Callithrix jacchus: one gene and its partners. The protein of the gene in region 1 interacts with the protein of each later gene in a biochemical or structural test. Links are inferred from orthologs where the notes say so. Each region holds a gene or a part of one and is shown in the gene's direction. Other genes may lie near its edges.

Region 1 (4,904 bases):
AAGGCTGGCAATCCTGTGTACTCTGAGGGCTTAAAACACCTCTGGTATAATCGAGCCTAGGTGGCTATACACCCTGTCAGCTCTCTCGCTATTGTGCTGACTCAAAGCAACCTCCTATAGAAATCGTTAGTAGCAGCCTGCAGGTGGCTGTATACTCTGTCAGCTCTGTTGCTATTATGCTGACTCAGAGCATCCTCCTATAGGAATTCTTAGAAGTAGCCTGCCCCTAGATAAGAGATGCTGCACACTGCACCCTCCTTACTGTGCACTGTCCACCCCCTTAGGGGTGGACCCCTTGCTGCACATTGACCACCTCCTGTCTCGGCTACCTAATGGGGGTGGACTCTTTGCTTATTGCACACGTGATTGTCTTGACCCTATCACTATCCTTAAGATGACCTCACTCACTACCCTTCCCCCTAACCTATACCTAACGAATACAGATGTGCCTGGACGCTCAGGGCATCGCCTGTCTCCACTTGTAAGTGGCGTTGGCCCCCGGAGCCCAGCTGTCTTTATCCAGTCCTTTGGTGTCCTGTCTCCTTATTTCTTGGATCCAGTGCTTCAGCACAGTGATAGGGGACACTCCAGGACCCTAGTAGGGCTGGACCCTACACCCGACCTCAGGTGATCTGCCTGCCTCGGCCTCCCAAAGTTCTGGGATTACAGGGTTGAGCCACTTTTCCCGCCGAAAGTGATTATTTCTATAGCATAGGGATTCACAGTTTACCACGTGTCTTCACATTGATTTAATCCTCACACCAGCCCTGTGAAGTAGATATTATTATGAGCCACATTTTATGGATGAGGAAATTGGGGCCTAGAGCAGTGATGTGAAGGGACCAAGGTCGACTTGGAGCTAACAGAGCAAGGATTAGAAACCAGGTCTCCAGACGCCCAGACCCAGAGCCCCACCTTGCAGTCCTCTTCCCACACACTAGGAGTTCGAGATTTTTCTGCCAGGCCTCAAAGTGTGGGACTTCAGGTTTTTCTATCCTCGACTGTTAACAGAGCCAGGGATTAATCTCTTAAATTTCCCTCCAGTTTTGAAGTGGGGATCCTGCCTAAGCCCTAAGCGGAGCCGGCAGCTCTCTCCTCCGGGGGCGGGGCCCGTTACATCTGAAGCCACGCCCACTATAAGCCACGCCCACAGACCAAAGCCTCGGTTACCCCGATGCGAAACCAGCTTCTTCCTCCGCTCTCCAACTAAAACTCTGCCTGTAGTCTCTCGCGGCTCAGTATCTACCTTTTTTGTTGTTTGTTTTTGACACAGGGTTTCGCTCTGTCACCCAGGCTGGAGTGCAGTGGCATGATCGCGGTTCACTGCAGTCTCAAGCTTCTGGGCTGTCATCTAGGCTTCCCAAACTGTTGGGATTACAGGCGTGAGCCATCGCGCCCGGCCGATGTCTACCTATTAAACTCAAGCCCTGGAGTCCAGAGCTCCGCCATACGCAGCACGACGCCCAATGCTTCGCACCAGGATACGTGGTTCTGTCTCTTTTTCATGCGCTCCCACGTCCGCGAGCTACAGTCTCGGCCCTCGACGGACATTCCTAGCACAGAGACCCCTGAGCTGGATCACTGGGTTACTCCCCCGAAGAGAAGCCCCGCCCCCTGACTCCCCGCCCAGCACCACGCCTCCCAGGCGTCTCGCCTTACTTCGTGGCCCCGCCCCGCTCCTTCTAAGCCGCAACCTAGGTAGTTCCACTCGGAGGCCCTCGGCTCCCGTGCCCCGCCCCGGCCTCCTGCTCCTGCCCGAGGCCCCGCCCTAAGCGCTGGCCACACCCCTGGTAGCCCCGCCCCCAGAGCTCCTCCCCCAGCGGCCAGGGTAGGGTGGCGGCTGGCCCAGCCGGGCCCCCGCTGCCCTCTGCCCCGGGTGCTTGGTAGGAACGGGCAGGGCACGGCGGGACAGGGCGAGCACGGAGGTCCGGGGTCTCGGAGGCGAAGATGGCGTCCGGCAGGCGCGCCCCGCGTACCGGGCTGCTGGAGCTGCGCGCCGGGGCGGGCTCGGGGGCCGGCGGCGAGCGGTGGCAGCGAGTGCTGCTGAGTCTGGCGGAGGACGTGCTGACCGTGAGCTCCGCCGACGGCGACCCTGGCCCCGATCCCGGCGCTCCGCGGGAGCCGGAGCCCGCGCAGCTGAACGGCGCCGCGGAGCCAGGCGCCGGGCCCCCGCAGCTGCCTGAGGCGCTACTGCTCCAGCGGCGCCGCGTGACGGTGCGCAAGGCCGATGCCGGTGGGCTGGGCATCAGCATCAAAGGTGGGCGCGGGACACCAAGGGTACGGGGTCGCGGTGTCTGGGGACCGCTGAGGGCACAGGGGGCTGGCAGCGCGCCCAGGACATGGAGGCCTTCTGTCTGGGGGTAAGGGGATTCTGAGGAAACAGGTAACAGAGGGCACTGGGCGCACCAAGGTCGGAGGGGGTTTCTGTAGTTGGTGACCTTAGGGGGCACGGTAGCTACTGGTGTGGAGGATATTGTGGGAGCACCAAGGACACGTGGGTGGGGAGTTGTGTGTGGAGGCGTGGGGGTCTGAGTGGCAACCAGCATGAACATCAAGGACAAGAGGGGTCCCCCAAAAAGCAGAGAGTGGAGAAAGGGAGTTGAGGCTGGGACACCGGTGGAGCAGGGAGCAGGGAGTCCCTGAGAAGCAACCAAGTTGGGCGCAGGGCGGAGGCCTGGAGTCTGGGAAGCACAGGGGTGGATAGGAGGCCTGGGTGCAGGCACAGGCTGGGGTCACAGAGAGAAGGCCAGCAAGGCCTTAGGAATCGAAGGACCCAGGAAGGCTATGGGGAGCCCCGACAGCTGGATTTGAGTCTCCTGGTCTGAGTCACCTTGCACAGGATAGAGAGAGCTTTCAGCCCCCAAGACTGACCACTAGTAGGGTGCAGGTAGAGTGCAAACAGACTGCGTTTGAGTCCAGGACCAGCTGTGTGAGCCTGCGCAAATCCCATCCCATCTCTGAATCTTAGTTTCCTCAACTGTATAAGAGGATGATAGAGTTGTGACTTCTGAGAGCAGGGCTCACCACACCAGCACATTGTAGGTGCCTAGTTAATTACTGCTGTTAGCGGAGAGGAATATTGGAGTCCAGGAGATACTCCCAAAGCTACTAAACATAGTGCTTAAAATCCTTGCACAACCCCAGCTGCTGGGCTCACTATTCCTGCCTATCTGTTTCTCAGGGTTCCAGCCTCCAGCAGGGTGCTTTGGGAAAGGGTGTCAGCCTTTTTCTGCACCTTGAATATGAACTGTCCCCACCCAGGTCTCCCCAGTACTGATTCTGTTCACTAGTGCCTCCAGACCCTTTGGCTTGGCTGAGGCAGTGAGGATGGTAGTGAATGCCACCACTGCGTGCCATGTGTGGTGCCCAGGACACTAGTTTCATGATCCATTTTATCCTGGCAACAAGTGGTGAAAGATAGGGAATATAATCCCCACATCACAGGTGAAGAAACTGAGACTCAGAAAAGTAAAATGATTTTCCACGATTACACAGTGGGTGTCAGCCCTGGGATTTGAACCTTAATTATCAGCTACTGTCCCCTAGAGAGTGCTCAGGGAAGTTGATTCTTTCCTGCAGAATGGCAGATCCCCAGGCAGCCAAGAGGACCTAAAAAGGGGAAATGGGAAAACGAGCATATGGGCACCAGTCTTACCCCCAGTCTCCAGCATGGGATGGGACAACAGACCAATCCAAAAATTATATACTCAGTGTGTCACAGCAGGTTGTTTATTTATTATTAATATTTTTGAGATGGAGACTCACACTGTTACCTGGGCTGGAGTGCAATGCCATAATCTTGGCTCACTGCAACCTCTGCCTCCCAGGTTCAAGCAATTCTCCTACCTCAGCCTACCAAGTAGCTGGGATTACAGGTGCCCACCAACATGCCTGGCTAATTTTTTTTTTTTTTTTAGTAGAGAGGGAGGTTTCACTATATTGGCCAGGCTGGTCTCGAATTCCTGACCTGATGATCCGCCTGCCTCTGCCTCCCAAAGTGCTGGGATTACAGGCGTGAGCCACTGCGCCTGGCCTGAACTTATTCATATAGAGTTCCATTCTACAGATGGACACACTGAGACTCAGAGAGGAGCAGACTTTCTAAGTCACACAAAGTTCCCCCCCAGCTGCATACTTCTAGGTGGAGGGAGACTTCAGGTACTATCATAGGATCCAAATCCTTGTGGATGGAGACTGGGCTCCTGTTGTCATGGTAACCCATCCTCTAGAGTCTAGCTTAGTCTGAGGCAGCCATGAGTGATCATAGCTTCCAACCGAACTGAAACCCCTAGTTTCAGATGGGGGAGGACAGATATAAATAGAAACCCCTTTCTCTCCTAGACTTCAAGCTCTGTGCAGATAAGCAAAGTGTTGGGCCTGTGTGGGGGTCAAGAGAGGTGTTCCAATCCCAGCTCTGCCACCAGCTTGTGTCACCTTGGAACAATGACCTCCCATTCTGGGCCACTAATTCCTCATCTTCAGTATTCTGGGAATGAGCCAGGAGTGTGATATTTGAGGGCCTGACGTGCCATCTATCGTAGGGTGAATAGTGTTGGTTCTGGAGCCTGGAGGCCTAGGTGCAAATACGGGCTTCGCTACTTACCAGCTGAGTGACCTTGGACAAGGGGCTTCCCTCCACACTTCAGTTTTCCTAATAGGAAACTGAGCATGCCTATGAGATGGGGTATTGTAAAGACGCAATGAAACAACATTGAACGCATTCAGCACAGTGCTTGGCATTTGATACGTGCAACTAAGGTGAAGGTGAACTGTTATTACTATTTCTTATTTTTAAAGGGCTTTCACAGTTAAGTAATAAAGCGGTTTAGTAAAATGTATTAGCTTCTTTTGTATCCGATATGTAATTCAGACAGGCTTTTAGAATCTCTAGACTTTAAGGCTTT
Region 2 (4,043 bases), on another chromosome or scaffold:
TGCCATGAAAATAAATCTTGTCAGCTATTTCATGAAACAGAAAGAACAAGAAAGGCAAGGCAAGGAGTTGAAGTGTTGTGAGGAGAATAGAAGGGAAAAAGAGGAAAGGTATTATGTTAATCATCATGTTTCTTAGAGGGATAAATGAAAAGCATAAACCAGCTGGGCTATGAAGTGCACCAATAGAGCTGAAATAGAGACAAATCAGAATTGCAATACAGTGATGAAGGGAACTGTTTTTATTCCCAGATTTTGCTTTCCTGTGGTTACTCTACTTTTTGTAAGTAGAAGTCTTGTGACCTATTAGAATGAGAGCGCTTTTCTGTCTCACTGTTAAGATACTAAATTTTTTTTCTCCTAGCGACATGTTGGCAGGATCTGTCCTTACAAACTGAGACATTAGTGTGGTGTGATGGCTTGTAATCCTGACTGTTTATTCCCTTGTTCTCTGTAGCCCTGGGGCTGGATAGAGAGATAGGAAACTTTGAAGTGGGCAAGGAATTTGATGCCCTCCTGATCAACCCCAAAGCATCTGACTCTCCCATTGACCTGTTTTATGGGGATTTTTTTGGTGATATTTCTGAGGTAAGAAAAAGAAAGTTAATCAAAAGGCATTTATTTCATAAAGTCGCCTAACAGCTTCCCTCTATAAAAGAAAATAGAAACTGAAACATTTTAATGGAATGCAGGAAACTCTTCAAAGGGACACTAGAGCCCTTTGATAATTATTGTAATTTTATGACAGCAATGTTAAAAATAATGGTATTAACAAAACTTTTCTATTTTGAATGTGTTTGTATATTTGAACGTAACTAGAACTCATTGAACACTTGCTATGTGCTGGCTAGGCATGGGATTAGGCACTTTCATACCTAATTTTGTTCAATCATCAGAGCAACTCTAAGGGAGTAGGTACTATTAATGTTGTCATGTTAATTTATAGAGGCAGTGTGGCTTAAGGGAGGTTAAGTGATTTACGTGAAGACTCATAGCCAGTGATTAGTAGGCAGAGTTTGGACTCACACCTGGAGCTTTCTGACTACCAGAGGCGAGGCTCTTGACCACTCTGTTATGTCAATGTTTTCAATTTTATAAGAAAATGAACTTTGTTGCTTTATCATAAAATGTTTTCCTATGAATAAACTAGTTAATCTTACTTGAAAAAATACTTTCTTGTAAGATATTGAGCTCTTTCTAAAAAAAGAATTAACTATTGCCATTTCTAAATTGATCTACTTATGAGAGTAAATGTGATAATAAATATATCATATTAAAGTTGTTTTTTTTTTTTTTTTGAGACGGAATCTTGCTCCGTTGCCAGGCTGGAGTGCAGTGGCGCAATCTCAGCTCACTGCAACCTCCGCCTCTTGGGTTCAAGTGATTCTCCTGCCTCAACCTCCCAAGTAACTGGGACTACAGGCATGTGCCACCATGCCCAGCTAATAGACATAGTTGTAATTGCTAGTTACTATTGTTGTAGAAATCAGGAAATTAATCCTTAGAAAATTAATTTCCTAAGGTCTTACAGATAATAAGTGACAGCTAGAACTTAACTTGAACTTTATAGGCCATCACTAGACAACCCAAAGTCAAGAAAGGGAAGTCATGTGATGAACTTAAATTATGGAGACCAAAATCCTAGGAAATCTGAAAACAGTATCTGACTGATTTTTATGTGTCTGCTAAATTCTTCACATTAACTGACTTCCTTCGTAAGGAAGCAAAGACCCAAAGAAATGGGTAAACTTGGGTATTTTTATGCTAGGTTTGATGAAGAGTGGAGCATTGTAGAGAAATATGATAGGACAAAGAGTGTGATCCAGTGGTAATAAGCTAGAAGGGACTTAGCAAGACCTGTTGGTTCAGATTCTTCTCTGCGACCCTTTGTCTTCAGAGGTCAGTTATAAGGAGGACACCCTTTACATGATGGTCTTATAACCTGCATTGGGGTGAGGGGTGAGGGGTGAGGGGAGGGTCCGAATGACCTCCCTGCTTTTGATTTGAGGATAGTCCTGATCCCATTATTATTTTTATATTGTTTATTCTTTTACTCTCTTATTAAAATTAATTTCTGGGAATAGGGCTCTAGGGAATAGTTTTAGTCATTTTTCTTACATCAGGGGTATCCAAGGGAGAGAATACAGTCACAGGTTCTTAGTTTCTGTTTCTGGTTGGGCCGGTAAAGTCCCCTCCCTCACCCCTCTTTTCTGCTTATCACTAGAGACAGAAACTATAAACCATGGCTTCAGGCTGCTAAAAGCCGAAAACAGAACCAAACAGAACAACAACACAATAAAGCAGATTGGACAAGCTTGTCTTACAACATACACCTCTTGAAATATTTGAATTATTTTACTAAATTAATTTCTTTAATTTATATAATACCTTTTCCATGATGACTCTAAAGTTACATACCCAAAACTTTCACGCAATAGGTAAACTGTTAATTGCCAATGGATTGTTTTGTTGTTCTGGGAGGTTTTTTATTAAAGCACGTAGTTATTTCTTTTTTAATTAATAGAAGTAGATTTTGCCATTGAGAAGTACATTCATATTTCTGGGCTTTGCCAACCATTGTCAGCTGTGAATTTACTTTTCTAAATGCACAAACTATTCTTTCTTATTACTTTTATTTTCCATTTTAGGCTGTTATCCAGAAGTTCCTCTATTTAGGTAGGTGAATGTATGTCTCTATGCTAAATAATAAATAAAATCTTTCCTTGTCTTGTCTTTTTCTTGGCTATGGCTCTCTGTATTTATCATGCCATATATTAAACTCTATGTATGATAATTTGCTTTGATTCATTTTTTTAAACACTCTGAAGCATTAAGCCCATTGTGGCATATTATTTAAAGGTTCTATTTGAAGTGCACATGACTTTCTCTAGTCATAAGTTCTAAGCTGAGAAATAGAAATAGAAGGCCAAAGGGGAAGAGATTTTCATGTTCATTCCTCTTGTACTCATTCAGTATCTGACATTCTGCCTTACCATGTTTTTGTGACAAATACATAGTAGAGTCTCACCACGTGTTCAAAGTCTCACCTTTGTTCAAAGGAAGTTGCATGAATTCTCAACTCTGGTTGAGAGCGTTCATAAATGTGCTTGTAATGTACTCACGTTCAATTCCATTCACTGAGAGAAACAGTAATGCAGAAGATTCTACTCTACTTCCCATCCTGTTGAGTGAGCTCAGTGAGCTTGAGATGGACAGACACATGTGTTACTTCTTGTGGAACTGCTTCTGGAGTGTAAGAAATGTGTAAAGTATTTCTTTCTCCACGGGGGGCAAAATATAAACCAACCACGTTAGCTGAGAAAGGACAGCTAAAGGGGGCTGATTCAACTTTATGTGATTTCTGCCTCGGGAGCGGAATTCAGACCCTAATCATGAAATTAGCCATGACATTTTCTACTGATCATGTCTTCCTGTTCAGATTATAAACCTGAGCGTGGGGGGAAAGCAGCTTTTGGTATTTCCTCTCCTAAAAGTATCTTTAAAAAAAATCTCTCTCAATGGCAATGAAGATAATTATTGACTCAAAAGGACTTTATACATGATTCCTTGATTTTTCTTTCAGGAGATGATCGAAATATTGAGGAGGTTTATGTGGGCGGAAAGCAGGTGGTTCCGTTTTCCAGCTCAGTGTAAGACCTTCGGGCATCTATGAAGTTCTCCTGGGATTAGTGTGGTTCTGCATCTCCTTTGTATCCAGGTGGAGTTAGAAAGTCAAAAAATAGTACCTTGTTCTTGGGATGACTATCCCTTTCTGTGTCTAGTTACAGTATTCACTTGACAAATCGTTCGAAGGAAGTTGCACTAATTCTCAACTCTGGTTGAGAGGGTTCATAAATTTCATGAAAATGTCTCCCTTTGGAGCTGCTCAGACTTACTTTAAGCTCAAACAGAAGGGAATGCTATCACTGGTGGTACAATGAGATTTAAACAAAGCCTTTTTCATATTTGAAAATGTGGAAAGAAAAGATGTTCCTAAAAGGTTAGACATTTTGAGCTAGTAAATGCAAAAATTAGAAAACTGAAAT
Region 3 (4,281 bases), about 83 Mb from region 1:
AGGGGTGATGCTCTGTGCCCAGCACCTGTGCAGCAGTAGCACCTGGGCCTTGCAGGCACATCTCCCAGTCCCAACAGAGCCTGCACGCCCACCTCCCCAGCTCGGCTGCTGGGCAGGCAGGAGGTGAGGAACGGCCGGCCGGCCCAGGGAGGGGCAACTGCCCAGCACCCCGGGGCTGCCCACTGCAGCTGTCCCGGCTACCCATCCTGGTCTCTGAGCCCAGGATGCGAGGATGGCCAGACCGTCTCTTGCCACCGTGGTGCCTCTGGGCCCTGAGTGCCTGCGCCCCTTTACCCGGGAGTCCCTGGCAGCCATAGAACAGCGGGTGGTGGAGGAGGAGGCCCGGCTGCAGCGGAACAAGCAGATGGAGATTGAGGAGCCCGAACGGAAGCCTCGAAGTGACTTGGAGGCTGGCAAGAACCTGCCCATGATCTATGGAGACCCCCCGCCAGAGGCCATCGGCATCCCCCTGGAGGACCTGGATCCCTACTACTGCGACAAGAAGGTTCGGGCCTGGGAAGCCTCCCTCTGTCTGTCTGCTGTCCATCTGTCTGTCTGTCCCCAGGCCTCACAGCCTCTCTCCCCACCTTAGACCTTCATCGTTCTCAACAAGGGCAAGGCCATCTTCCGCTTCTCCGCCACACCCGCTCTCTACATGCTGAGCCCCTTCAGCATGGTCAGGCGAGGGGCCATCAAGGTGCTCATCCACGCATATCCTGCCAGAGAAGGGAGAGGCGGGAGGGCTTAGGGATGGGCGAGATGGGGTGCTCTGGGCCAGGAGACCCGCCATCACCTCCCCTCCTAGCTGCTTCGTCACTCTCCTTGACCCTGCCCCACGCTGTTCAGCATGTTCATCATGATCACCATCTTGACCAACTGTGTGTTCATGACCATGAGTAACCCGCCTCCCTGGTCCAAGAATGTGGAGTGAGTCTCCCCCATCCCTGAGCTCCCCAGCCCTGGGACACAGACCATCTCAGGTGTCTGCACCTCTGCGTGACACTGCTCTTGTCTTTCAGGGAGACACACTGTCACCGTGACCCTTTTCCACACCTTGAACCCCCGGGGTGGCCACACTATCACTCGATAGTGTCCTTAGCTGCTTGGGTGGCATATTTTATTTCTGGGGGTCTGTCGTTGCCACAGTCATCCCTGCCTGTGTGACATGCCTGCCCTGGCCGGCCCTCTTCCCCCCAGGTACACCTTCACAGGGATCTATACCTTTGAGTCCCTCATCAAGATACTGGCCCGGGGCTTCTGTGTCGATGACTTCACATTCCTCCGGGACCCCTGGAATTGGCTGGACTTCAGCGTCATCATGATGGCGTGAGCAGGGGCCCGAGCCTGGGATGGGTGAGGGGAGGGGCCAGGCCTCAAAGAGGGCAGCTGCCTGTGCTGAGGGCTGCAGGGGACATTTGTCAGTTGTGCAGACAGGGAGCTGCACAATTCTAGAAGCTGCCATTCTCAGGGTCTGGCTCAGAGCTCTCCTGAAGGCCTCCTGGTCATCCCATGAATCAGCCCTGACCTGCAGGCCCTCACCCGCTAGGAGAGCCGGGCTGTCTTTGCCATCCCCACTCCCCCACAGCAGAGCTCATGCACTGTTCTTCCCAACTCCTGGGCTCCCAGAGGAGCTTTGAGGGTGTCTTACCTGCCCCCAGACCCTGTGGAACCCCCAACTTCTAGAGAATCCTCATTCCAGGCCTGGAGAGGCCCTGATTTCTGCCCTACGACCCACCCCAGGCTCTGACAGTCCCCACCTCACTCCACCCCCCTCCCAGGTACCTGACAGAGTTTGTGGACTTGGGCAACATCTCAGCCCTGAGGACCTTCCGGGTGCTGCGGGCCCTCAAAACCATCACAGTCATCCCAGGTACTGGGGAGGTGCAGGGACCCTCTGCCTGAGCTGAGAGATGCCACCACCCCCGGCCACACAATGCACCTGCCGGGAACCTGACTCAGGGTCACAACCCTCCCCGGCTGAGAACTCACAGCAAAGCCTGGACAAAGAGGGGCCCACGTGACCAGGGGGCAGAAGGGGTTCTATGTGGAAGAATGGCATTTGAGAGGCAGCATAGCAAGGTGGTTAAGAGCACAGACTCAGCTGGGTATGGTGGCTCACGCCTGTAATCCCAGCACTTTGGGAGGCCAAGGCAGGTGGATCAAGTAAGTTTGAAACCAGCCTGGCCAACATGGCAAAATGCCGTCTCTGCTAAAAATACAAAAGTTAGCCTAGTGTGGAGGCAGGTGCCTGTAGTCCCAGCTACTCAGGAGGCTGAGGCAGGAGAATCACTTGAACCCAGGAGACAGAGGTTGCAGTGAGCCTAGATCATGACACTGCACTCCAGCCTGGGAAAAAGAATGAGATCCTGTCTCAAAAGAAAAAAAAAAAAAAAGCACAGAGTCTGGAGCCTTGACTGCCTGGGTTCAATTCTCACCTCTACCACTTCCTAACTTTGCCTTTGGGCAAATGCCTCATCCCGTCTGTGTCTCAGTTTCCTTATCTATAGAATATGTAGACTAATAATACCACTCCTTGGTTTGTTGTAAGGATTAAATGTCTTAATGTCCGTAAGGCCCTCATAGCCCTTGACCCATGGCTTGTGATATACATGTGTGTGCTCAATAAAATAAGCAGACCAAGCAGAGCAGAGAGAGACACAAAAGGACTCCATGAGGGAAAGTCCCAGCCCTGAGAGCTCAGTTAGGAACACGCCACGCCCCTGCTGACCATGAGGCCAGGGCAATTCCAAAGTAATGCATCGAGAAACTGAATTAATAGAATCCGATCATTCAGACCCACAAAAGAGCAAGTAGAGAAACTGGAGATGGCCCAGTAGAGAGAAAGAAAAAGGATCGAGATCAGTCTCTGGAAAGAGGGGAAATTGTTAAATCCTAATGCAAGAAAGTACCTGAGGCCAGGCACGGTGGCTCACATCTGTAATCCCAGAACTTTGGGAGGCCAAGACAGGCTGATCACTTGATGTCAGAAGTTCGAGACCATCGTGGCCAATATGATGAAAACCCATCTCTGCTAAAAATACAAAAATTAGCTGAGTGTGGTGGCACCTGCCCATAACCCCAGCTACTTGGGAGGCTGAGGCAGGAGAATCGTTTGAACCCAGGAGGCAGAGGTTGCAGTGAGCCGAGATCACACCACTGCACTCCAGCCTGGGCAACAGAGCGAGACTCCACCTCAAAGTAAAAAAAAATGAAAGAAGTACCTGAGCTCTCTTCTAGTCTAAATAAAGCCCTCTGACTACAGCCAAGGAAGGTGAGGCCCCGGGAGAGGAAGCGCTTCCCAAATTCCATACTGCACGTTGGCCACTGAGCCAAGATGGCGTTGCCTTTCCTGTGTCAGCTGCTGGCGTCCTGGGAGCGCAAGAGTTCTTTTATAAGGAGTCTGCCAAGCATTTGTTTTCCATATCAAGATAAGAAAAGGAAATGAATTCATATTAAAGCAAGAGGCACTATGATTAGGCTCAAGAAGAAGTTATGGCTCTTGCACAGGTGATGGGAATCAGCCCCTGGGATTCTTTCAGCATTGTTTATGCCTTTGTCTCTCCAAAGAATGTAATGATGTTTCAGGGTCAGTCTAGCGCTTCTCAGAGTGAACCCTGCTGTTTCCTCAGGGGTTACTAGGTATTTTAAGGAAAAGGGTTCTGTGGTCAAATACGTTAAGGAAACGTGGAATTAAAGTTTTTGTTTAATAGTCCAGGCAAGGTGGGTGATGCCTGTAATCCCAGAACTTGGGGTGGCCGAGGCAGGCCAATTACTTGAGACCAGGAGTTTGAGACTAGGCTGGCCAACATAACAAAACTTCGTTCCTACAAAAATTCAAAAAGATTAGTTGGGGGTAGTGACACCCACCTGTAATCCCAGCTACTCATGAGACTGAGCCAGGAGAATCACTTGAACCTGGGAGGCGGAGGTTGCAGTGAGCTGAGATTGCACCACGGTACTCCAGCCTGGGTGACAGAATGAGACGCTGTCTCTAAATAAATAAATAAGTTTTTATTTATTTTAGTTTTTGTTTAAATACAGTTTTTGTTTATTTCTGCTTTTCAGAGCCTTTGATAGGATAATCTACATAATGACTCTCCAAGAACAGAATCCAGGGCGCAGCTTTTCCCAAACGTTATCAACCCCCCTTTTTAAGGGCACAGCATAGGAGATTAGTGTTCTATCAAACAGATTTTGAGGGTGCTAACCTAGTGACACGTAGTAAGCTCCTCTGTGTGTCTTGGTTTGCTCTAGAGGTCAGACAACAGCCCATCAGGTCTT
Region 4 (4,281 bases), on another chromosome or scaffold:
ATATATGATTTTGGAACAAGTTTCTCCATTTATACTTTAATTTGGGTGTGCTGGGTAAGTGCTGGACATCCTAATGTCATCCTTCCAGGTAGCCACGCCACAAAGTACAAATGATATTTCCTTATTTCTAGTAGAACCCTGAAAATGGGATGGCTGGGTCCAAGGATAAGTTCATGTACCTAGGCGTGGTGGCTCACGCCTGTAATCCCAGCACTTTGGGAAGCCGAGGTGGGCAAATCACCTGATGTCAGGAGTTCCAGACCAGCCTGGCCAACATGGTGAAACCCCGTCTCTACTAAAAAAATACAAAAATTACCCAGGGTGGTGACAGGCACCTGTAATACCAGCAACTCAGGAGGCTAAGGCAGGAGAATCACTCGAACTCAGGAGGTGGAGGTTGCAGTGAGCCAAGATTACACCACTACACTCCAGCCTGGGTGACACGAACAAAACTTCATCTCAGTCAATCTGTCAATAAATGCATGGACAGTTTGGCTAGATATTTCCACACTCTTCTCCACAGGAGATGGATCATTTTGGACTTCTGTCTGTTTCCCCACAGCTTTGTCAACAGAATGCATTGTCATCTTTGGATACAATTTTCTATACTGTTTAGTCTCTTACCACCTTTTTTCCTTTGCAGACAGAGAATGTCCCAGCTACACTCTCAGAGGAGAACCGTTCTGAAGGAAAAGTTGGTTTTAAGGCCTATAAGAATTACTTCAGAGCTGGTGCTCACTGGATTGTCATCATTTTCCTCGTTCTCCTAAATGCCGCAGCTCAGGTAAATAATGACATTTGTTTTGTGCCCTCAAAATGATATTTACAGTATATTAATATAAATTTATTTATGCTCTTGTGACTGCATCTTGCCGTTCCCTTGGGGTCTGCATTGAAATGTGCTGTCTTTGGGGAACAAAGTGAGAGCTGCCTATTGGTGTTTTATGTCCACTACAAAGACCTTCTGGGGAAAATAGGGTATCTTTCAATGATTTTTAAATGGAATATGCATTTTCCTGAGCTCTTAATATCTGGGAGTTTGGGCTTGGCACAGGCCTGAGCTGGAAGAACTATGCAGGTTCTCCTCTGTGGCCTTTCTTTTCTTCTTCTTTTTTTTTTTTTGAGATAGAGTTTTGCTCTATTGCCCACGCTGGAGTGCAGTGGTGCAGTCTTGGCTCACTGCAACCTCCATCTCCCAGGTTCAAGCAATTCTCCTGCCTTAGCCTTTTGAGTAGCTAGGATTACAGGCATGTGCCACCATGCCAGGTTAGTCTAATTTTTGTATTTTTAGTAGAGATGAGGTTTCGCTCTGTTGGCAAGGCTGGCCTAGAACTCCTGGCCTTAAGTTGATCTGCCCACCTCAGCCTCCCAAAGTGCTGGGATTACAGGCCTGAGCCACCGCAGCCGGCTGTGAGCCTTTCTTTGCATTGTCCCATGTTAGTGATGAAGAGTTTTGAGCCGGTAATCATGCCAAAGTTTAATTTTGTCATCGTGGTTTCTCTCCTCCTAGGTGGCCTATGTTCTTCAAGATTGGTGGCTTTCGTACTGGTAAGTTATGTCTGGTCTCATGTATGAAATACTTGAGAATCACTAAGAAGACTCAGTTTTCCATAGAGTAGGGGGAGAGGGTGGCGTTTGTTCATCCTTCTCTTCTAATCCTCACTTAGTTTACCCAAAGAAAAATTAGAGTGCTTGCTGGTGGAGTGTAACCTGTGGTGGTCTCCACCCATGTCTGATCCTCAGCATCATGTTCACAGACAGTTTCGGGAACTGAAAGTCGTGATTTAAATTGAATTTTTATAAGGTAGATACACACAGGACTATGTGAGCTGAGAATCATTTTCCAACATGAAGCATTTCTCTCAAATTGAGGTTCATTTTTTTAAAAAATGTGTTTATCTAGATTCCATCAATAGCTGAATATTTTTTTCTCCCCGTGTTCCATAGGGCAAACAAACAAAGTGCTCTAAATGGCACTGTAAATGGAGGAGGAAATGTAACCCAGAGGCTGGATCTTAACTGGTACTTAGGAATTTATTCAGGTAAAGTTGAATCATTTGGTCTATTATATGAGAGGTTGAGGTGCTTACAATGAGCCTGTGTGAGTAGCTAGGGCTTCCAGGAGTAATTCAGTAATGTCTTAACAGATTAGGAGTCTCAGTCGCATTTACTCTGTGAATTAATTAGAATAATTATTCTAAAAATCGACTAGAAGAAAGAGGTTGAATGAAGACTCTTAATTTGCTCTGTACTGGATTTTGAAAGTTAAACCAGGATTGAGCATTCAGAAAATCAGCCACTGGAAATATGTGGCTATTGTCTATTCTAATAGGTTGCTTTAGCTAAATCTTATATCATTATACGGATGGGCAGGGGGATTAGAAACGGATCCCCACCCTGTGGTTCGGATTGTTCCAATTCTGTCTAAATAAACCCTGGCTTTTATTGAACTTGGATGAAATCCTCTGGCAGCAAGGCCCCCAAAATAAAAGCATTATTCCCTTCCAGGTATGCAAAGCTCCCTTCAGCACTGCTCATCTCTTGGGCTTCACTAATTACTTAAGAGGGAAGCTGAGCAGGGAAAAATCCAGTGTCTGGGAATTAGGACGCCTTCTATTTCTTACCTTGAGATCACAATGTTATCGCGTCCCCAACTGTGTGATTAATTTAACATTTGGCTTGCCAGACTAATATTAACGCCGTACTCTGTTTTCACAAGGGTGCTTAGAATGTATGTGGCATTACGTAGTGTTTCAAGGAAATCCTCATCTAAAATTTTAAGTATTTCCACAGGAAATGCTCATATAAGCTTTCCTCAGAGATAGAATGAGTTGTCTTTGTAAGAACCTACTCAGTGAAATTTAGTATTGATTTCATCGATCGCTTGCTAATAAATCTAAATCCATTAGGTGTTTACCTTCCTAATTGGCAGACTGTGTGAAAACTCAAGGAAGAAGGAAATCGGTTCTATTATATGTTTGTGTAGGATGGGAGGCTACAGATAATGCCCACTGATGGAGTTAGGAATTTGAGCTGCTTTCAGAGGTTAAATAACAGTGACATGTCATCGGAAAGGGAAATATTTGTTATAGAAGTAACCCCCACTGTACTGAGCATTGGGAGTTAAGAGATGATAGGAAAGCTCTTTTAATTTCTGTGTGAATAATGGATACTCATTCATGTCTCAATAAAAACGTATAATTTATTTTATTCATTTAAAAATGTCTTGTGTCTATGTAAAACATGTAGTGGGGGATTAGTTGCTTATTTAGATTAATTATCTTATATTAAAATATGATTTGTGTTTTCTTGCAATTCAATTATTCAAGAGGTTTTCCACATGCAACTTAATATGGTATTTTTAAATTCTTTAAAGCTACTTGGGCATTTTCTACAAGGAAAAGGTAAATCATTTCTCCTATTCCTTGTTAATATCACCTGTTGGTATCAAAACATACCACCTTTTTTAGATTACGGGACATAATGTAAATAATAAGATTTGGAATATGGAGAAGATCAACTATATTTCATGATTATCTATCTTACTTCTGAGTTGTTAATAGAACTTACTGTTGAATTAGGAAAGCCTAGAATGAAACTGTATTATACATCTGGTTTTTCTTTTCTGGGCAGTTTCTATTCGGTGAGAGAAAAATAAACTATTTTAATTCTTCTTCATCAGTGCATTTTATAAATATGTTATACTGTTATAGAATCCAGATACTTTATGGAATAAAATAAGTAACGTTTTTATGAACTATCTGACTTGCTTTAGCACTATTGAAGAAAATGCAGAGATATGCTGTGTTCTCTAAGTGATATTTCTTTATTTCAGGTTTAACTGTAGCTACCGTTCTTTTTGGCATAGCAAGATCTCTGTTGGTATTCTACGTCCTTGTTAATTCTTCACAAACTTTGCACAACAAAATGTTTGAGTCAATTCTGAAAGCTCCAGTATTATTCTTTGACAGAAATCCAATAGGTAAGTCTGACACCAAGTTTCTCAGTAAATATGTCTTGTTAACAACACATTTAGGATCTGATTACATTTCCGTCTTTGAAAATGGAAGGGATGCTTGGAAGAAAATCACTATGCATGTTGATTAATTTTCTACAAGATGCTTCACTGATATTATTCTACTGCCAGAGAAAATCTGAATATGGGGGGGCATACAATCTTTTATTCCAATTTATATGTGTGTGGAAAAATAAATGTTCACTTTGCAGAATGCTTTAGGAATCCATTTGCTGTGAGGCAAGCAAAGCATCCTGCATTCCCTG
Region 5 (4,281 bases), on another chromosome or scaffold:
TACTAAATAATGTGGATGTGTGTGATTTGTGTGTTTTTGTGCTCTTGTGCTGGGTCTATTTGTGTGTGTGTGTGTGTGTGCACATATGAGTGCACACATGTGTGTTCATACATGTGTGTGCATGTGCCTGTGTGTGTATATCACATATGTGCAGGAAAAACCAACTAGAAGGACATTGGCAGGTGTCACTTGGGACGAAGGGCAGGACCACCTTGGAAACCCCTCCTGCCCTCTCCTTGTTGCTGCCCCTTCCTTCTCCCAGCGCCCCCATAGCCCTCAAGGATGCAGGTGATCCGGAGCAGCCCCGTTGCTGGGTAGTGGGCATGAACTGAAGCCCTCGGATTGGTTCTGGGTTTCCGTTTTCCTGAGTCCCAGGCCAGGATCTGCTGGATGCACAGGAGGGAGGCTTTTCAGCAGGGCCGCACCAGCCCTAGTCCATACAGGCCTGTGGTGGGCTGTGTTGGCCTCTCAGGATGGGGTGGGGAAAGCACTGCAAGAGCTCCGTGGAAAGCAGGGTGGGTTCTGGTTTCAGGGCCGGGGTTGATCTTCATCATCTACCCGGAGGCCATTGCCACACTCCCGCTGTCCTCAGCCTGGGCCGTGGTCTTCTTCATCATGCTGCTCACCCTGGGCATCGACAGTGCCGTGAGTAACCTGTGCCACTGAGCCCCATCCTTGGCACTTTGGCTCCTTCCACCCAAGGGGGCCCTGCCCTCCAAGGGTCAGGCAAGACCCCTGGGCTCACAGACGGCCCCCAGACCTCCCGTGCTCAACTCAAGTAAGCCCCACGATTATTTGGGAGACCTTTCTTGGGGCTGGGGTAAATGGTGACTGGAGTTTAACTTTTCCTTTATCACTCTACTCTGGGGTACCTGTGTGACCTGCCCTAAGCCACCTACAGATCCTGGACATGTGCATGCACACACATGCATGCACAAGCACACACATGCACACATCCAGCTGCTGGGGGTGGCGGGTCCAGCCCTTGATCAGCCCTGGACCAGCTGGACTTCCCTGTCAGCTCCTTCTTCCCTGTCAGCTGCTTGGAACCCAGAATCCCTTTCCACATAAATACTGGTTGTGCATCCAGCCCCCACTCATCTCCTACCCAGCTGGGCCACAGCCCCTGAGTTGACCACAGGCCTCGTGTTCCTGATGTAGGAGCATGAAGGGGGGTCTGGACTAAGCAAGGCAAAGAAGGTCACTAAGCAGGAGTCAGGTGCCTGGATGGCATCCCATGGGAGAATGCTGGGAGTCAGGAGGCTCCACTGGGGAGGTGTAGCCAGTGACTGGGCCAGGTGCACCCAAAAGCTTTGCGTGTGGGGGTCATCTTGCTAGGGAAAATTTTGCCAAGCCAAGCCTGTGCAGTAGTAGTGGACAGGGTGGTGGTGTTTTAGCTATGCCACATCTTACCCATCCAGAGACGTTGACGAGGCTACAAATCCCCTACCATGGATAGTGTGGTCCCTCTGGGTTTCCCCTACTGTAGATAGCATGTTCCCTCTGGGTCTTCCTATCATGAATAGAGTGGTCCTGCTGGGTTCCCCCCTACCGTGGATAGAGTGGCCCCTCTGGGTCCTCCCTACTGTGGATAGAGTGGTCCCTTTGGGTCCCCCCTACTGTGAATAGAGTGGTCCTGGCTGGGTCCCCCCTACCATGGATAGAGTGGCCCCTCTGGGTCCTCCCTTCTGTGGATAGCGTGGTCCCTCTGAGCTCACCCCTACCGTGCATAGCGCAGTCTGTCTGGGTTCTCTCTCCTGCGGTCGTGCCACCAGAGAAACCCTCGCCAACAGCCATCCTCGCTACCAGGCGTCCTGCACCCTGGACAGCCATGCATCCCCTTTTCCATGTGCATCCCCGGGTGTGCGTCCACTGAGTAGATCTCAGCCCAGGCTGCAGTGAGCAGTGCCCCAGCCTGCAGCCTGACCCTGTGCTCTGTGTGCAGATGGGCGGCATGGAGTCGGTGATCACCGGGCTCATCGATGAGTTCCAGCTGCTGCACAGACACCGTGAGCTCTTCACGCTCTTCATTGTACTGGCAACCTTCCTCCTCTCCCTGTTCTGCGTCACCAACGTACGTACCATTGCCGGCTTCACCTTCTCCTGGTTATGTCTCCTTAACATGTGGCACAGGGCGGCCTGGCTGGGACTGTCAGGTCAGACAGAACCGCAGTGCTTCCAGGAAGCTGTGTCCCCACCCACCCAGAAAATGACTCATACGCACACGAATGCACACACGCGAGTGCCCAGGGTTAACTGCACATCCGGAGCTTGATCCCAGTCACTTCAGCACCTGGACAGCTCCCCGGAGTGTGCGTCCCATGGTCACTTCAGCACCTGGACAGCTCTCTGGAGAGTGAGTCCCATAGTCATTTCAGCATCTGGACAGCTCCCCCCAGACGCGTTCAAGGCTGAAGCTGCCTCCCTCTAGGGCTTGGGGATTGGGGGACACTGGGGCTGACAGAATCTATCTATATGGTAGGAGACCCCAGGCCACCTCCTCTCCACGGGAGGCACTGCCAACTTCCACATTCGGTTGCTTCCATTTCTAGTTGCACGTGAAGCCCTAGGAAAGGAAAGGAGAGATCATTTTTATTTTATTTTATTTTTTGTAATAGAGGTGGCCCTAAGAAGCTGCATGTGGATTGAATTTTAGGGACTGAAACCAGAGTTTGCAGTGAGTGAAACAGAGCTTGTGTGTGCAGTGTGTCCCCAGGCCGGGCTTACCTTTGGGAGCAGCCTTCCCGCAGGTCCACAGGATCCTTCTCTTCCAGGGCGGCATCTATGTCTTCACGCTCCTGGACCATTTTGCAGCCGGCACGTCCATCCTCTTTGGAGTGCTCATCGAAGCCATTGGGGTGGCCTGGTTCTATGGTGAGTCCAGGAGAGGCAGCCAGGCTGGCGCCCTCTTGTTTGGTGGCTGTGCCACTCCCTATCTGACAAAGCCACCATGAAGAAACACCTTTCAGCTGCAGGTAGCCTGGGTTGGGTTCATCACAGCTTCACAGAGGGGAGAGGCTTGGCACTGGTCCCTTTGATGGGATCAGTGAGGTGCTTAGCTTGGATGGCAGCCAGAAGACACACACTGTGGTCAGAGGTGTTCACAGTGGCCAGGTGGCTTCAGCTTCCTCCATGCAAGAGGCATAAGCGAGCCCACCCCACATAGGGGAACACAATCAGATCCATGCTGGGGGCTTCAGCAGGGATGTGACACAGAGCATTTCAAAGGTGCTGTTATGGCCTTCTCTGCTGACCAGAGCTCCAGAGCGGTCAGGCCTAAGGGTCAGTAGGCAGCCCTCCAACAGGGCGCAGCTCCTGCCCACTGTGCCACCCCAGCTGTGTCCTGGAATGTCCACTGGTGGTTTAAACAGCAACGAACCCAGCCTGGCAGCTGGGCTACCCTTTCCCCGCATGCTGACCTGGCAAGCCACCTCCATTGCCCTGAATTCTGTCTTCTGTAAAATGGGGCTGTGATGCCAGCTCTGCTCACCTGGCCGGGTGGCTTCAGGGGAGCAGACAAGGCCTAACAGGTGCATCTCTCCAGCCAAAGCTGAATGTCTCTGATGCTGTGTGAGCCCCGGTTTTGAAGGACACCTAGCTCACCTGCATACGAGGGGTCATTGTCTCTGCCTCAGAGCTGTGGACTTTATAGCCAGATAAACACACTGGCTTGGAGACAAATAGGACAAATAGCTCCTATCCTGAGAATATTGTTTTCAGTGTTGTTGTTCTACAGAAAAGGGAAATGTCAAACTCGTGCTTTCACGGGTACTTGGAACCAATACTTTATCTATCACTTTAATTGTAATCTCCCCTGAACAAAACATAGAGCTTCACAGAGGAAGGAGAAAGTGCCTCGAATTCACTCCAGCACCATGGTCTCTGAAACCATGGGAGGCGGGGAAAAGCTGTCCCTGGCGTCCCGCACCTCAGAAGACCAAGCTCTGTGTTATATTTCCAAAGAGGAATCCAGCACCTCCTCATCTAAATGAAACAAAATCTATGCTCTAATAAGATATGCTGGAATACACCAGGCTTCCACTGCACCGAGGTCCTGCAGGTCTTGGAGCTGATGCCACCTTCTCCGGCAGGGCCCTGGGACCTGCTGGTGGGAGGCTGAGTGGCCTTGGGGATGCCCCCTTTTGCTGCTGGCCTCACCTGTCTGCGTCCCCACTCCCTCCCAAGTCCATCTCTCACGTCGAGCTCAGATCCCCAGGTGGGGTGTGGAGAAGGGATTCTGCATGGAGGTGCCTTTCTGACAGAACATGGGCCACCCACAAG
Region 6 (4,281 bases), on another chromosome or scaffold:
ACTCAACTCTGCACATTGTTTTACTTTCCTAAGGCTGCTGGAACAAATTCTCACAAACTTGGGAGCTTTACACAACGTAAACTTATTCTCCCACACTTTTGGAAGCCACGAGTTCAAAACCAGGATGTTAACAGGGTCATGCTCCCTTCAAAGGCTTTAGTGGAGGGTTTCTCCTTACCTCCTCGCACTTCTGGTGGCCACCAGCATTCCTTGTAGCTGCGTGACTCCAGTCTCTGCCTGTCTTCACATGGTCACCTCCTCTTCTCTGTGGCCCAAATCTCTCTCTGCCGTTGAATTTAGGGCCCAGGCAGACAATTAAGAATAATCTCAAGATCCTTAACTCTGCAAGACATTTTTCCAAATAAGGTCACATTCACAGAGTGAACATATCTTTTGGGGGCCACCTTTCAACCCATACACCAATTGGTAGCATCTATGGCTACTTTCATGTTAAAACAGCCAAGTTGAGTAGTTGCTCAATTGAATGGTTAGACCACAAAACCAAAATATGTACCATCTGGGCCTCCCTTTGCAGAAAATGTTTGCCAAGCCCTGGTCCAAAGCTGCCTTACAATGCAACTTTGCTGAACTACTGTTCCTCCCACGACAATCCACACTCACGTACACACTTCGCCCCACAGGCACATCCAGTCATAATCTAAATTGTTGTTTTTAATAAAATAATGCTGAACCCCCAACAAGGTTTATTTATTGTAAGGTAAGATGCAAATATGGCCAGTGTATAATTCAATGTCTTCAAAATTTTCTCTCTTACTGTTCATGAAAATACATTTTATTAAAATGACCCTGAGAATTGTTCAGCATTAAGTCCATTGCATGATTTGTGGGGAGCAGAAACCTCTTTGGTAAAACTGTACTTTTCCCCCATATGTCTTGCACATCTGATGTCAGTTACACAAACTTGTGCTATTTGAAGGAACAGATGGAAGAATAGTATGGCCCTAAAATTTTCTCAGAATGTTGCCTCTGGAATCTACAAGGCAGTATCAACAGAATGACCTAGTTCTCTGTCTTGTTAAATATCAGAGCAAATCCCCGCATCAAAATTCCAGATTGAAACACCCTTGAAGAGCAAACACAATAACAGTATTTCAACTGGGGTTTTTGTCATTTTAATTCATGAGGAACATCAAATCTTCAAGAGTTCCCATGATATAAATAAAAATGGAAATTAATCTAAATATTAATTATGCCTAGAAATTACAGAGAAAAGTACATTACCTGTAACCACTCCACCTTATGCATCTTATATGCATACACACACAGGCATGCATACTGACATTTATACAAGACTATTTTAACATCCACTAGGATATCAAAAAATTGAAGATAGAAGTTTTATACGATCATTACAATATGTATGTTACTTTCCTTAAAATATATGGTAAAACGGTGACAATCTTTGACCATCTCTGAACTCAATGAGGAAAACATTCATTATCTTCCTCCACAAACTAGGAAATATTGGATCTCACTTTACAAAGAAAAGGAAAATCTATTTTCTGGAATAACAGCCTACTGAAATCTCCCCTTTAAGGGTTGTAAAAAGCACGTTGTATATTCACATTCGTAGATATAAATGAAGCCTTTTAAGAATAGAAACAAGGGTCAGATGGAATTAAGCTATACTTCCCTACCCCCAGATGACATTACATTTGATCAAATAGCAATTCTAGTTTGTGCAGTATCAATATGCAGTATGGATTTTGTTAACGTTGGTTCTCCTAACCCAAGGAATGCTTACACCCAAATTGACAAGTACTATATTTGGGTAGCTGTAAACCTGTATTTACACAAGTGATGCTACAAGCCATGAAATTAAAAAACAGAGACGAGCCCCGTCCTCCACCCAGAACCAGACAGCACAGTAATGTGTCTTTGCATGATTCTTTCTCTTTAGGAACTGAAAACAAGGGGAAGCATAACCTCCTTGGTCCAGATTGGAACTGTATACCCCAAATGACAACCTTTATTGGCGAAGGGGAACAAGAAGCCCAGATAACATACATAGATTCAAAGCAGAAGGCGGTGGAGATCACAGACAGCACCATGTGTCCAAAAGAGCACCGGCACTTGTACATAGACAATGCCTATAGTTCAGATGGACTTAACCAGCAGCTGAGCCAGCCCGGGGAGGCCCCCTGTGAGGCAGACTACAGAAGTCTAGCTCAGCGGTCCCTACTGACCCTCTCAGGACCAGAAACTCTGAAGAAAGCACAGGAATCTCCGAGAGGAGCTAAAGTGTCCTTTATTTTTGGAGACTTCGCCTTGGATGATGGTATTAGTCCCCCAACTCTCGGCTATGAAACACTACTAGATGAGAGTCCTGAAATGCTGGAGAAGCAGAGAAATCTCTACATCAGCAGTGCCAATGACATGAAAGGCCTGGATCTCACTCCAGATGCAGAGGGCATCCAGTTTGTGGAAAATTCTGTGTATGCAAACATAGGCGATGTGAAGAGCTTCCAGGCCACGGAGGGGATTGAGGAGCCCCTCTTGCATGACATCTGTTATGCAGAAAACACCGATGATGCAGAGGACGAGGATGAGGTGAGCTGTGAGGAGGACCTCGTGGTGGGGGAGATGAACCAGCCGGCTATCCTCAACCTGTCTGGGTCAAGTGATGACATCATTGACCTCACATCCCTACCACCTCCAGAAGGTGATGACAATGAGGATGACTTCCTGTTGCGTTCTTTGAACATGGCCATTGCCGCACCCCCACCTGGCTTTAGAGACAGTTCAGATGAAGAGGACTCTCAGACCCAGGCAGCTTCCTTCCCCGAGGATAAGGAGAAAGGCAGCAGCCTGCAAAATGATGAGATCCCCGTGTCTCTCATTGACGCTGTGCCCACCAGCACCGAAGGCAAGTGTGAGAAGGGACTGGATAATGCCGTCGTCTCCACGCTGGGAGCTCTAGAGGCTCTATCCGTGTCAGAAGAACAGCAGACCAGTGACAATTCAGGTTCTTTCACAATTGTTACATTCATTCACTGATAACCATATCCTTCCATCCTTCCAAGCCATTTGCCCTTGGAGTCCTGTTACGTGGTGTTCTCCATTTCACACATGTCCCATTTCATAAATGTGCTGAAACTACCATCATGGGTTTTGTGTGTGTGTGTGTGTGTGTGTGTGTGTATGTGATTTTCTTTGCTTTTTTTTTTTTTTTTTAAAAAAACATAAGGCACATCTCTCCCCCATTTCTGGAACAACTGTGCAATAAACTCAGAGTCCTTACTGAAAAGGGAAAAACTTGGTATTTTCTTTTAATAATAACGAGTCCCATTTTCTTACATGTCTCCAAGTGCCTCTGATGCATCCATTAATCAGTTCTTGTTTTTTACGGCATGCAGGTGTAGCCATCTTGCGGGCTTATAGTCCTGAGTCTTCGTCAGACTCGGGCAATGAAACTAACTCTTCTGAAATGACTGAGAGTTCTGAACTGGCCACAGCACAAAAACAGTCAGAAAACCTCTCCCGCATGTTCTTGGCCACTCATGAAGGCTACCACCCCCTTGCAGAAGAACAGACCGAGTTTCCGGCCTCCAAAACCCCCGCTGGGGGCTTACCTCCAAAGTCCTCACATGCCCTGGCTGCTAGGCCAGCAACCGACCTCCCGCCCAAAGTCGTGCCTTCCAAGCAGTTACTTCACTCAGACCACATGGAGATGGAGCCTGAAACCATGGAGACTAAGTCAGTCACTGACTATTTCAGCAAACTGCACATGGGGTCGGTGGCATACTCCTGCACTAGCAAAAGGAAAAGCAAGCTGGCCGATGGTGAGGGGAAGGCACCCTCTAATGCGAACACAACAGGAAAAAAACAGGGGACCAAAACAGCAGAGATGGAGGAGGATGCCAGTGGTAAATTTGGTACTGTCTCTTCACGGGACAGTCAACACCTGAGCACTTTTAATCTGGAGAGAACTGCCTTTCGCAAGGACAGCCAAAGATGGTATGTGGCCGCTGAAGGTGGGATGGCTGAAAAAAGCGGACTCGAAGCAGCATCGGGGAAAACCTTTCCAAGAGCTTCTGGTCTTGGGGCAAGGGAGGCCGAAGGGAAGGAAGAAGGAGCTCCTGATGGAGAAGCCAGTGATGGCTCAGGACTTAGTCAAGGGGACCGCTTCTTAACTGACATGACCTGTGCATCTTCAGCCAAAGACTTAGATAACCCAGAGGACGCTGACTCGTCCACCTGCGACCATCCTTCCAAGCTTCCTGAGGCTGATGAGAGTGTGGCCCGCCTTTGCGACTACCA
Region 7 (3,252 bases), on another chromosome or scaffold:
AGTCAGGAGGCCGCCTGAAGAGGCCAGTCAACGTCCCCTTTGATATCTTCACTGAGGAGGTGAAGTTCTATCAGTTGGGGGAGGAGGCCCTGTTGAAGTTTCGGGAGGATGAGGGCTTTGTGAGAGAAGAGGAGGACAGGGCCCTCCCTGAGAATGAATTTAAAAAGCAGATTTGGCTCCTCTTCGAATATCCAGAGAGCTCCAGTCCCGCCAGGGGCATAGCCATTGTGTCCGTCCTGGTCATCTTAATCTCTATTGTCATCTTTTGCCTGGAAACCTTGCCTGAGTTTAGGGACGACAGGGATCTCGTCATGGCACTGAGTGCTGGAGGGCATGGTGGGTTGTTGAATGACACCTCAGCACCCCACCTGGAGAACTCAGGGCACACGATATTCAATGACCCCTTCTTCATCGTGGAGACGGTCTGTATTGTGTGGTTTTCCTTTGAGTTTGTGGTTCGCTGCTTTGCTTGTCCAAGCCAAGCACTGTTCTTCAAAAACATCATGAACATCATTGACATTGTCTCCATTTTGCCTTACTTCATCACACTGGGCACCGACCTGGCCCAGCAACAGGGGGGTGGCAATGGTCAGCAGCAGCAGGCCATGTCCTTTGCCATCCTCAGAATCATTCGTCTGGTCCGAGTATTCCGGATCTTCAAACTCTCCAGGCACTCCAAAGGCCTGCAGATCCTGGGCCACACCCTCAGAGCCAGCATGCGGGAACTGGGCCTTCTGATCTTTTTCCTCTTCATTGGGGTCATCCTCTTTTCCAGCGCTGTGTATTTTGCAGAGGCGGATGAACCTAATACCCATTTCCAAAGCATCCCAGATGCATTTTGGTGGGCTGTGGTGACCATGACAACTGTGGGCTATGGGGACATGAAGCCCATCACTGTGGGGGGCAAGATTGTGGGGTCCCTGTGTGCCATTGCGGGTGTCTTAACCATTGCTTTGCCAGTGCCAGTGATTGTCTCTAACTTTAACTATTTCTACCACAGAGAAACTGAAAATGAGGAACAGACACAGCTGACGCAGAATGCAGTCAGCTGCCCATACCTCCCCTCTAATTTGCTCAAGAAATTTCGGAGCTCTACTTCTTCTTCCCTGGGGGACAAGTCAGAGTATCTAGAGATGGAAGAAGGAGTTAAGGAATCTCTGTGTGCAAAGGAGGAGAAGTGTCAGGGAAAGGGGGATGACAGTGAGACAGATAAAAACAACTGTTCTAATGCAAAGGCTGTGGAGACTGATGTGTGAATTGCTTTCTCCACCTGCCACTGCCCCCCCAAGCATCTCCAAATATATTTATGCATAGAGAGTGCAGTTATGAAAATGAAATATGCAAATGATCCAATGCATACAGTAGTACACCATTTAATGGTTATACATGGCATAATTGTACCTAAACTTGTATTACATATCAAATAAATGATATATCCTGGAGAAGAGGGAGGCTTAAATAGGAGCAAATCTATCTTTATATTTTTATTAGAATGCAAGAGTTTTGCACATTAACTAGAAAAGATGTTAGTGAAAATGGAGAGAGAGTGTGTGTGTGAGTGTGAGTGTGTGAAGTAAATTGTTAATGTTAGTAATTGTGCAGTGATGGGAAAAGTTGGCATTTTGAAGTATTTACTATGTAAGAACTAATGAATTTGAACAGTCATTTATCAGTGCTTTAATAGCATCTCATATGTCTTTGGATTCTGTAGTTGTTTTTTAAAAATTGTAAGAATTGCTGCGTAGAGAAAAAAGAAAGTAAATTATTTAATAGAATATAGGTCACAATTTTATCTTGGATTTAATTAAAGTTTATTTTTAACTGGAAATTAACTTTTAAAAAGGCTGCAAGGGCCTCTAGAAATTGATTATATTTTGTTATTAATTTTGGGAAGATTTGACAGCAAATGTCTAACATTATAGAATAAATGACATTGGAGAATATGTAATAAGTTTTGTTTGCAGGTAACAGGACTGGAATTTTTTTTTTTTTTGCACTTCTTTATATGCTGGAGATTGAGAGAGACTTCATACTGTGAATGTTTGCTAATGTAACAGTTCAATGACAATCATTGGAAGAATGATTTCTCTAGTCTTATTTTATTGTTTTCATTGTGTGAGACTAATGACCAGGCAGATAACATCACATGATTCTCTCCTCTTTTAAAATCTAAATAACTGATCTACAAAGGAACTATGAAGTAAAATTTAGCAACTGAATCTTTTGAAATTGGTCTGTTACAATGATGCTTCTGAAATCATATATCTTATATGTTCTTCTGCCTTTCAACTCCAGAAAAATTTAACCAAAGTTAATGCATGCACTGAAAGAATTCTTGAAGAAATAAGATGCCCAGCAGCTACAGTGATTATGGCCTAAAATTTTTCTATTAAATGTGCAATATAAATGCTAGATTTATTAAGTTTATTTTTTTGTGCAGTTATATAAGAACAGAATTTGAGGATTAACCTCAGATTTTAACATTTTATTTGCTAAAATGAATATAAGGAAGAATTGTGTCCAACATTTGGTTTCAACATCACCATCATTATCAACTTTATTAAAGGAAATTATGACACATATAATTGCATTTAACTCACCACAAATTGTTCTAGAATGTGAGATAGCAACTAGCGATCAGCCTTGCACTATTAAATCATAATGAGGTATAGTTTAGAAAACTGGGGATGCATACAAGGCCTTATTCCACAATGCTTCTTTAAGTTTTAATCTTTGTAAAATAGTTGTCTTGAATTCTGGGCAGGGGACAAAACAAACAACACTGCATACACTTTTCAGCACATAGCGAACTCTGGTAACTGTGAGCTAAAAACAAGCAAACAAACAAAATGACCTAGAATGGCCTTTCTCAAGCTTTCTAAAATCCAGGCCATCATTTCATAATTACATAAATCCTACCTCTCTTTTAATGGTATTTGAAATTCAAAGTAAATTCAACGTTAGGGTTCAAAGTAAAGCTGCGCCCCCTCTCCACCCCTTCCCCATCATTTGTAGAGAAACTCTTTTCTAGAAACCTTTTAGATAATGAAAAAGCAAGCAGGACCTTTGATTGAGTGTGAAGACCAAAGATCAATAGAAGACAATAGAGAATGATAAAACAACAAAATACCATCTTACAATAAGACTTCAAAGATAACGTTTTAATGCGTTTTAGATTTGGGGCAAAAAATGTAATAAGCCTTCGGCTGGGGGTAAGGTTATTTGGACTGGTTATAATTAATTTGAAAAAGT

Evidence for each region.
Region 2: the proteins of SNTA1 (region 1) and GDA interact in a test that uses a peptide from one of them, tested with the Homo sapiens proteins (2 studies listed by BioGRID and IntAct). The link is inferred for Callithrix jacchus from reciprocal best matches to the Homo sapiens genes SNTA1 and GDA.
Region 3: the proteins of SNTA1 (region 1) and SCN4A interact in a test that uses a peptide from one of them, tested with the Homo sapiens proteins (2 studies listed by BioGRID and IntAct). The link is inferred for Callithrix jacchus from reciprocal best matches to the Homo sapiens genes SNTA1 and SCN4A.
Region 4: the proteins of SNTA1 (region 1) and ABCC4 form a complex in vitro, tested with the Homo sapiens proteins (2 studies listed by BioGRID and IntAct, with this or other methods). The link is inferred for Callithrix jacchus from reciprocal best matches to the Homo sapiens genes SNTA1 and ABCC4.
Region 5: the proteins of SNTA1 (region 1) and SLC6A3 interact in a test that uses a peptide from one of them, tested with the Homo sapiens proteins (2 studies listed by BioGRID and IntAct). The link is inferred for Callithrix jacchus from reciprocal best matches to the Homo sapiens genes SNTA1 and SLC6A3.
Region 6: the proteins of SNTA1 (region 1) and FRMPD4 interact in a test that uses a peptide from one of them, tested with the Homo sapiens proteins (2 studies listed by IntAct, with this or other methods). The link is inferred for Callithrix jacchus from reciprocal best matches to the Homo sapiens genes SNTA1 and FRMPD4.
Region 7: the proteins of SNTA1 (region 1) and KCNA4 interact in a test that uses a peptide from one of them, tested with the Homo sapiens proteins (2 studies listed by BioGRID and IntAct). The link is inferred for Callithrix jacchus from reciprocal best matches to the Homo sapiens genes SNTA1 and KCNA4.

Annotation. Positions count from the first base shown.
Region 1 is NC_133506.1:5,877,720-5,882,623, forward strand, and holds the start of SNTA1 (alpha-1-syntrophin), read left to right. Parts: upstream 1-1,818; 5' UTR 1,819-1,947; coding exon 1,948-2,257; intron 2,258-4,904. UniProt on the Homo sapiens protein: Adapter protein that binds to and probably organizes the subcellular localization of a variety of membrane proteins. May link various receptors to the actin cytoskeleton and the extracellular matrix via the dystrophin glycoprotein complex.
Region 2 is NC_133502.1:92,567,173-92,571,215, reverse strand, and holds part of GDA (guanine deaminase), read left to right. Parts: intron 1-454; coding exon 455-585; intron 586-2,645; coding exon 2,646-2,673; intron 2,674-3,580; coding exon of another isoform or gene 3,581-3,651; exon of another isoform or gene 3,652-4,043. UniProt on the Homo sapiens protein: Catalyzes the hydrolytic deamination of guanine, producing xanthine and ammonia.
Region 3 is NC_133506.1:89,240,516-89,244,796, reverse strand, and holds part of SCN4A (sodium channel protein type 4 subunit alpha), read left to right. Parts: 5' UTR 1-232; coding exon 233-505; intron 506-592; coding exon 593-711; intron 712-837; coding exon 838-927; intron 928-1,197; coding exon 1,198-1,326; intron 1,327-1,778; coding exon 1,779-1,870; intron 1,871-4,281. UniProt on the Homo sapiens protein: Pore-forming subunit of Nav1.4, a voltage-gated sodium (Nav) channel that directly mediates the depolarizing phase of action potentials in excitable membranes.
Region 4 is NC_133502.1:10,894,485-10,898,765, reverse strand, and holds part of ABCC4 (ATP-binding cassette sub-family C member 4), read left to right. Parts: intron 1-643; coding exon 644-784; intron 785-1,510; coding exon 1,511-1,548; intron 1,549-1,947; coding exon 1,948-2,042; intron 2,043-3,835; coding exon 3,836-3,982; intron 3,983-4,281. UniProt on the Homo sapiens protein: ATP-dependent transporter of the ATP-binding cassette (ABC) family that actively extrudes physiological compounds and xenobiotics from cells.
Region 5 is NC_133503.1:204,680,153-204,684,433, forward strand, and holds part of SLC6A3 (sodium-dependent dopamine transporter), read left to right. Parts: intron 1-532; coding exon 533-645; intron 646-1,945; coding exon 1,946-2,074; intron 2,075-2,774; coding exon 2,775-2,874; intron 2,875-4,281. UniProt on the Homo sapiens protein: Mediates sodium- and chloride-dependent transport of dopamine. Also mediates sodium- and chloride-dependent transport of norepinephrine (also known as noradrenaline). Regulator of light-dependent retinal hyaloid vessel regression, downstream of OPN5 signaling.
Region 6 is NC_133524.1:12,935,604-12,939,884, forward strand, and holds part of FRMPD4 (FERM and PDZ domain-containing protein 4), read left to right. Parts: intron 1-209; exon of another isoform or gene 210-342; intron 343-1,921; coding exon 1,922-2,986; intron 2,987-3,377; coding exon 3,378-4,281. UniProt on the Homo sapiens protein: Positive regulator of dendritic spine morphogenesis and density. Required for the maintenance of excitatory synaptic transmission. Binds phosphatidylinositol 4,5-bisphosphate.
Region 7 is NC_133511.1:95,329,083-95,332,334, reverse strand, and holds the end of KCNA4 (potassium voltage-gated channel subfamily A member 4), read left to right. Parts: coding exon 1-1,256; 3' UTR 1,257-2,412; downstream 2,413-3,252. UniProt on the Homo sapiens protein: Voltage-gated potassium channel that mediates transmembrane potassium transport in excitable membranes. Forms tetrameric potassium-selective channels through which potassium ions pass in accordance with their electrochemical gradient.